Linked DNA regions of Danio rerio. The protein of the gene in region 2 purifies or fractionates together with the protein of the main gene of each other region. This does not show direct contact. Links are inferred from orthologs where the notes say so. Each region holds a gene or a part of one and is shown on either strand. Other genes may lie near its edges.

Region 1 (4,279 bases), on a different chromosome or scaffold from region 2:
AATGTGCCTAAATACTTCAAATGTGAGACCTGCTCTACTATTTTTACATTTATGATGACCGGTTTATAAAATCTACAATCTACTGCTCTTGTTTGACTAACTTTGACTAGTTTGTACATTTTCATATTTGGGTGAACAACTACTTTAAACTGTGATGTTGTACAGCCATTTTCATTTTAGGTCAACTCTCAGGTATTTCCATGAGTGCATCACACCACTTTTACTTCCTCTTTAAGACATGCTGGATATTTTTCAAATCGAATGCAGTTCACTCTTTTAATTTTCCCTTCACCACAAGGTAAAATCTTTTTACCAGTTTCAGGATCAAATATTGAAGGCTTGTATTGGTGTTGTAGAACATAAACAGGAAGGGAACCTAAACCTACACAAACTGGCAATACCACAGAGTAGATCAAATTAAATCCTATGTTTTGAGGAGACAAATGAATAAGAACACATTAAATACTTTAGTTGAATTCTTCTGTTTATTTGACACTAAGCATATTATGCATGAAGTTAAATCACAGACATCACCCGTCTGCATTCAGTATGACATATACTTTCAGTAAAACATAACTATTTGTAGGCAATGCCATCTTGCATGTAAAACAATACTTTCAAAACACAGGACAGCCTCTGTCTTTTAAACATATGTCTTTAAAAACATAAACAGTTTAAAGTTATACTTTTTTCAGATAAAAGAACTTTGCAGTCAAACTAAACCAAAGAGAATACACATCATCATCCCTGTAGGCAGTCATCGTCTCTATATTTCAGCTTCATCTGTGTTTGTGCAATTGTGCTGAAAGAATCTCCACATCCATCTGCTCCCACAGACTGAAGGGTCTTGCTGTCAAGGTTCAGATGTTTATTTCTGGGTGATGGGAAATGAATTCTGGTCCATCAGTTCTCCTACTCGCTCCTGGAGAATCTGCACAACTTCAGCTAAGATGAAAACATGCGTGTCGTCCAAATCCTGGATGATGAATTTCTTCCCCAAAGCTGACGTCTCATCCAGATATAGTAGAAACTGCTTCATAGCTGGATCACTGGGTCACATTTAAAAAAAAAAAGAGAGAGAATTATATATGAAGGTGCACTACTACTAGAGCATGACTTTTATTTTAAAGGTGCACTAAGAATAGAGGTTTGTCAAGCCTGTATTTGATGTTATTGACATCTGGCTTTTTTCAGATTGAGGTAAAGTGGGTTTTATATCCTGCATATTCAGATTTTCTCCTTATAATATAATTTCAGAAAAGTATTCTTTACAAATTCTAAATAGGAAAATCATATAAGCAGCCAATAACTATCAAAGTACAACATTGTTCACTGTCAGTTAAATCGTGCTAATGTTGTTTTGAAGTCATACTTAAATTAAATTTCAGACCCCATATTCAAATTAGCGTGGTAAACGATATAGAGAGCTTTAAAATGAACAAATATAAAAAAATAACTTTACCTCAATTATTTTCAGTTGCTTCTCAGGAAGTAAACCATCGAAATTGTGACAATAAACAGAATTAAGTTCACAAATACTGCACAATTTGAAAGTTTAACTGATCCGATACCGTGCTAAGGATGTTGCCTCGTGGTAAAGAAAAAGTTTTTAGTTACAGGTAACAGTGAATAAATCCAAAATCTAACAAAACGTGCTCAGGGGTAGCTTATATAATCGGTGCTCTTTGGGTAAGGGATTCATCAAAATGAACAGCAAAAATCCATCCAAAGCACTCGAAAAATATGGAAAAAATTTTAAAAAGCCTTTATTCACATAAAAAAACTACAGTTTTTTGCCTTTATAAAACAAAGAACTGTTCTTTTCCGAAACGCGTAGGTTTTTTAAAGATTAGCCATGTGAATAAAGACTTTTTAATATTTTCTCCACATTTTTCAAATGCTTTGAACTGATTTTTGCCGTTTAACAGTGAATAAATGTTAACCATCTGTCGACTGTAATTATATTCTCGCAAGTAACGTTTACGTTAGTGAACAGTTGTTCAGCAACATTGCTTTAGTGGCGTAAAAATGTAAAATAAAAGTACTTTTCTACTAGGGCTGCACAATATTGGAAAAAATATACATTGCAATAATTTTTATTCCGTGATATACACTGCAATATGAATACAATTTCACCAGATTAGTTAAAAAACGGTTTGTAAATAATTTATAATTTTAGACGGATTGGGATGATTCATAACATATAACAAGCAACCTACAAGCATAGATGAATTCAATAAAGAAAAAATTGCTAATTAAATAAACAGCATTTTATTGCTTTCTGAAGAGTCTAAATGTATTCAGGTACACATGAATTAAATAATCAGATGTAAAATAATACTGCATAGTCTTTGTTTTTTATAAACAAGTCAATAAAACGAATCATTATAGCAAAATGATTAATTATAATCCAGACTCAACATTGTGATCACATTGCGATATCGATGCTGAAACGATATATTGTGCAGCCCTATTTTCTACTAATCGGATATGAATCCACATTGTGTGTAAGCACATTAGATTTAACACATTTCTTAAATAAACCCACCGTTGGATTCTCGTTTAAATGTTGTATTGAGGTAAAATGACCAGTGCAGCTTTAAATGGCAGTGGTATGTAAAACTTACCATTCAACGAGAACTCCTTTCAACACGTTGACCATTTTGGACGGGGTGTGTTAACACTAACGTAACTTACTGCTGCTTCAGTAAAGGTACAGTAAAAGCTCTGTATGAGAGAAAACGAAATAGCAACAAAGCCGTCCACCATGAATGACGTTAGTCCTTACAAATATTTTACATTTTGTTTACAGCTCTTAAACCTATACTTTAAAGACAGCGTTAAAACATACACACTAACATTCTTATTGTCTTTTGCCACTTTACTTTGTTGCAGTGACTGGTGTCAGAAAACTATTTAGCGTTTAGAAACAATGGTTTTCCTCTACTCACCGACTAGTATTGGACCAGTCAACTCCACTACCCTCTGCTGGCTTGGAGCGCAGTTCAGATCCTATTTGACTGCTCTCATACCCTGACAGAAAAGTACAACACCCACCTGGAAGTTTCTCGCAATCCTGAAGACTTTGATTATTTGGGACATATCTGTTTTGAATTGCGAATACTAATCCCTTTTTATTTAACGGTTACAATAGTGTGTCATAGAGATTAGAGTACTCATTTGCATTACAATACCGCTACTGTGCATTCGTTCATTTCCCTTCGGCTTAGTACCTCTATTCATCAGGGCCCACTTCTCCAGCATATGTTTTACACAGCGGATACTCTTCCAGCTGCAACCTAACTGGGAAACATCCATTCACACTCATATACTATTCACCTATAGAGCATGTCTTTGCAGTTTGGACTGTTGGGGAAACCGGAGCACCCGGAAACCCAATGCCAACACGGGGAGGACATGCAAACTCCATACAGAAATGGCAACTTACCCATCCAGGACAAGCCACGGTGTTGCCCTGCTTTACAGTGAAAGTGTTTATTCTTGGAGAGGAAAGTTTGGATTCAAAACTTTATTCACATGACAAAGATTTGGCAAAATAAAGTACTGTGGTCAGTGAATTAGTACAAATGTATTGGCAATTACAGCAACATCAGTACTTGTGTGTCTGAGGTAGTAGAAAGAAAGCTGGTGAACCAAAAAAAACAAGGCAAGGTTTCATTAGCATGTCTATTTTGTTCAAGTAGAATAAATATTATAAATAAAACTGAGTTTAAAAATGTGCAGTGATGTAGTAAACATACTAAGTTTGATAATCCTTTTTTTTGTTATGTCTAGTTAAAATAAATGCTAACAAGTGCTCATTCAAATTACTCTGAAATGATATACAGTACAAGGCTTTGAAGGGGTAAAACATTAAAAGTTAAACAAGGATTTTACCATAATACATATTCATATGGCAAGCATAAATAATAATAACAATACAAGTGAAATGTCAGTGGTATTTCAAATGTACAGGACATTACAGTTTAGATGTCCAAAAAGCTCCAGTTGCAATTGTAAAACTTCCTTCCTTCATGGCAGTCATAGATAACACTATCTTTTAAAAAGTGATGCTTAAATCCTTAAGAAAGCAATTGAAACTGTAAAGACTTTCACTTAATTCTACGTCCCCCAAGAGCATCCTGAATAAACTGTAAAGTACGCTTATAAAGAAACGTGTCCTTCTTTTCTGGCTTGCAGATGTTGAGGTGATCAACGTCCACCTGGATGAGGTCTCCAATACCCAGATCTGAAAGAGCAAAAGAGGAAACCGTGATAC
Region 2 (4,279 bases):
TTTTATTTTAGATTTAGACGCGCGGCGAGCGCAAGCAAGAAAGCGAAACCGCTCGCACTTCAGACTGGCTCGTAAAAAAACTAAGGGGCACAGGGTAAATCTGATCTTTGATCTTCTTTTTGGCATTGTGGCTGTTCATCAAGCCGACGACAAGGTTTGTTTGAGCCCGGGTCGACCATGGCTCGATATTATATATATATATATATATATATATATATATATATATATATATATATATATATATATATATATATATTTACAGCGTAATCTCTCGGCTGTGCTATTAAACATGGCAGCTCTTTTGTTTTCATTCTGGCCTGTTGCGCAAGCGAATGACCTATCTCTGTAAACCAATAGCATTCAGCTGCGTGTCTAGCTCCGCCTTTTGGCACCCTTTCTCTTGTTTGGTACCTTTTCGAAAGGGTGCCGAAAAAAATGGTATTGTACGGTTCGGTACGCCTTTTGACAGTGGAAACTGTCATAAAAGCGTACCAAACTGAACCATACCATTTGAAACGGGCCATTTGATGGCACCACAAGGTTCCTTTCACTGAATAAAATAAGATGCTCACCCGGAGTAAAAGCTCAGCAAGAATGCAGCCAACTGCCCACATGTCCACACCTACACCATACATCCTGGCACCAAAGAGCAGCTCTGGAGCCCGATACCATCTGAAGAACACAACATCAAACATCATCAAGATCCAAGTATTAAAGAAAATGTATACAAATCTGAAACTTGTACAAACCTTGTGACAACTTGATGTGTATACACTCTGTTTGGGCTTCCAAACGCTTTGGCCAAGCCAAAATCAGCAAGCTTCAAGACTCCATTCTCATCCAGCAGTAAATTATTGGGTTTCAGATCCTGAGAAAGAAACAATGATGATTTGATGTCCCAGATTCTTCATGATGTTTTTGGAATAAGTTTTAAAATTTTGAAGTTAAAAACGTTTTTATTTTAACCAAGGCTGCATATAAGCATTTGAAAAATGCAAAGGACAATGAATGTTGACAAACAATAGTTAATTATTTTAATATAGTTTAAACTGTCATTTATTCTTGTGCTTCAAATGGATTTACTGCACTATACTATAGGCTCATTCTAACTGCTGCTTAAGTAAAGATTCATCCTACCATTCATTTTGACCGTTAATAATTTAAAAAACAAACTACAAAGAACAGCAGTTTTTAAGTAACAAAAGGTACTTAAAATTATTTCAGGACAGAAACATTGGGAAGCTTTTTTTTTTTTTTTCACTGTAATGCATAACTGCTAAATAAAAATCCTATTCACCCGTATTGAACATAGTAAGTCACATAAATCATATATCTGTGATATAGGTCTCACCCTGTGCAGGATCCAGTGATTGTGCATGTATTCCAGACCCTGTAGTGTCATGAGGATGTATGCCTTTATATTGGCTGGTGTCAGTACGAGACTGGTGTCCTTTATGATTACCTGAAATACACAACACAAACAACAGTTTATGTGGGTGGGTGTGTGTGTGTGTGTGTGTGTGTATAAACCAAACAATTAAGATGGGTAAAAATCTAATTTAGCTGTGTTGACAAGCTCTTAACCGTTTTGCTATGTGAGGTTGGAAATTACTGAGATAAACAATATATGTCTAAGTTGATTACTGTGTCATCACCTCGAGATCTGTCTCCATGTAATCAAAGACCAGACTAATATTAGATTTGTGTCCAAAAGCATCCAGGAGCTGAAAGAGAAACCAGGTTCATAGATGTCAACATGAGTACACAATCAAAAACTGTACATCTGTGTATAATTAACGAATGTGCGCATGAACACAAACACACACACACAAACACTCACTCTGACTTACACCAATAATGTTTGGATGACTGAGCTCTTGCAACAACTTAATCTCTCGAAGAGCTGTTCTGTTGATGCCTGGATAACAAGATAAGTAAGATATTTTGTGTAAGACTTCACTTAATTACAATCAAAAATGAATAAAGATAAAAAAAAAAAGGAACACACCATCTTTAGCCTCTGTTCTGTGTCCCACTTTTATCTGCAAACAGGAAGCTTACATTTTAACATGACAGTCTGAATTAATTAATAAACAAAAAGCATAAAGCTGTCATAAAAACTCCATTATATACAGTACTTTCAGCCTTTTTCATGAATGATCTAACACACTTTGCGACTGAATTCTGATGATGAACAAACATATACACCTAATGATTACATCTATTGCACTAAAGACAACCAATCAAAAGATAACAGTTGTAATATGTTGAATGACGTTGTCTTGTTAGAAATATGTGCGTCAAATACTGTTTTTAAGTAACCTGGAGTTAGACACACACACACACACACACACACACACACAAAAACAAGCAAATAACACCCTTATCTTTGTTACTAGACGTTTTTGTCTTCAATTATTATTTTTTTCTTTTTGAAAATTGGGTTGACACCACAAAACAATTCTTCTTAAGATAAAACATTGGTAACGTTATTGATATCGTCTATATCGTCTAAGACAATACATCTTAACCTATTACTTTTTATTTTACAGTCATTCACTAATTAATGTTGCTAATAAGTTTCAGTTAAAGAATATTCATTATTTTACAACATTATAACGATCAATAAGACACATACTGACCCGTAAAACTAAAAGAATATCTGCATTTTGAACGCATTATAAGTTATTAAGGCATGGTGGTTTGCCACAACATACGGATTAAATGCAGTCTCTTACCTTTTTGATAGCGACAATGGTGTTCGTGGTTTTGTCTCTTGCCTTGTAAACAGTAGCAAACTGCAGTGAAATAATACACAATGCATGAGTGAAATCGAATGTTGTACTGCTTCATGACTTGACATATTATGAGATCTAGTCGTTTACCTGTCCTTCACCCAAAAAGTCCAGCTTTTCATAACGCTTTGCCCTTGACTTTACATCTAATGCCATGTTTTTCAACTGTAAACTTGTTCTTTGTGAAAGCACACTTCCTTCTGCGTTAAAGAGCACTGTATACTTCCGGGTAAAATAAAAGTCCCATAAGATGAAAAAACGTCCGTAAAAATAATAATAATAACATTTGTATTTGCAAGATGTAGTCTTTTAAAATGCACAAAATATGTTTATTATTGCTAAATAATTCTTTGATCGCCAAAAGATCTGTTACATGTGTGTATCTTGCTAAAATCTTAATTTATTTTATTTTTATGTAATATTTTTGATTACGTTTAAAATTATTTGCTTATTTGATTAATGTCAAATGGTTGCTTTCATGGAATCGAAAGTTGTACCGTCATTTCGTGTCAAACCCTGGTCAAACCATTCAGAAACATCCTGGCTTGTATGTATGAATTGTATGTATGTATGTATGTATGTATGTATGTATGCATGTATGATTTATACAACACCGTTAGTATCTAAGCAATTGATAATATTAGTTAATTATACATTTAAGGTTAGAGGTAAGTTTTAGGGTCAGGTTTTGTACCAAGCAGAGCTGCCAACTTTTGGTTTTAGTGAGAATTTTTGCCCCGCCCTTACGACTCAATGTACACACACACACACACGCACGCACGCACACACACACACACACACACACACACACACACACACACACACACACACACACACACACACACATATATATATATATATATATATATATATATATATATATATATATATATATATATATATATATATATATATATATATATATATTTAATAACAACAATAATTCCTTACATTTATATAGTGCTTTTCTTGGCACTTAAAGCGCTTTACACATAGGGGGAATCTCCTCATCCACTTTTTTTTTTCAAGAAAGAACATTACAAAGATATAATATAAACAAAGACAAAGAGGGTTACATAAATAGAATTCCAGCAAATTAAACAAGTTTAAATGATTTACACCAAGAAAGCGTTTCATGATTAACATGTTAACACGGGTCCATAACCACAGCAAAGCATGTTTTGACTGACAAAGATCTTAAAACAGACCACTTCATTTGTGGATCTGAGTAACGATAGCTCAGTTAGATAAGTTGATGTGTGCGCTGAACCTTTTCACTACACGGGTTACTACGGAACCCCCGGAAGGGACGTAGTGGGGGAGAAAAAAAATGGGTGGGTGAAAAAAAAATAATGGGTGAAAGAAAAAAAATGGGTGGGAGGAAAATATATATTTCTAAGTTTTTTGCGTTCTCTCGCAAAGTTTTGCGTTCCCTCGCAAAGATGTTTTGCGTTCCCTCGCAAAGATGTTTTTACATTACTGTG

The links.
Region 1: the proteins of cdk7 (region 2) and gtf2h5 purify together in Homo sapiens (affinity purification with mass spectrometry; 7 studies listed by BioGRID and IntAct, with this or other methods). This does not show direct contact. The link is inferred for Danio rerio from reciprocal best matches to the Homo sapiens genes CDK7 and GTF2H5.

The regions. Positions count from the first base shown.
Region 1 is NC_133195.1:28,728,557-28,732,835, forward strand, and holds gtf2h5 (general transcription factor IIH subunit 5), read right to left. Parts: upstream 3,004-4,279; 5' UTR 2,886-3,003; exon of another isoform or gene 2,860-2,885; intron 2,728-2,859; 5' UTR 2,663-2,727; coding exon 2,628-2,662; intron 1,050-2,627; coding exon 869-1,049; 3' UTR 464-868; downstream 1-463. Other genes in the region: protein SERAC1, read right to left, coding at 4,113-4,249. UniProt on the Homo sapiens protein: Component of the general transcription and DNA repair factor IIH (TFIIH) core complex, which is involved in general and transcription-coupled nucleotide excision repair (NER) of damaged DNA and, when complexed to CAK, in RNA transcription by RNA polymerase II.
Region 2 is NC_133180.1:56,116,985-56,121,263, forward strand, and holds the start of cdk7 (cyclin-dependent kinase 7), read right to left. Parts: upstream 3,010-4,279; 5' UTR 2,952-3,009; coding exon 2,886-2,951; intron 2,799-2,885; coding exon 2,739-2,798; intron 2,043-2,738; coding exon 2,009-2,042; intron 1,919-2,008; coding exon 1,851-1,918; intron 1,725-1,850; coding exon 1,656-1,724; intron 1,463-1,655; coding exon 1,352-1,462; intron 869-1,351; coding exon 750-868; intron 673-749; coding exon 573-672; intron 1-572. UniProt on the Homo sapiens protein: Serine/threonine kinase involved in cell cycle control and in RNA polymerase II-mediated RNA transcription. Cyclin-dependent kinases (CDKs) are activated by the binding to a cyclin and mediate the progression through the cell cycle.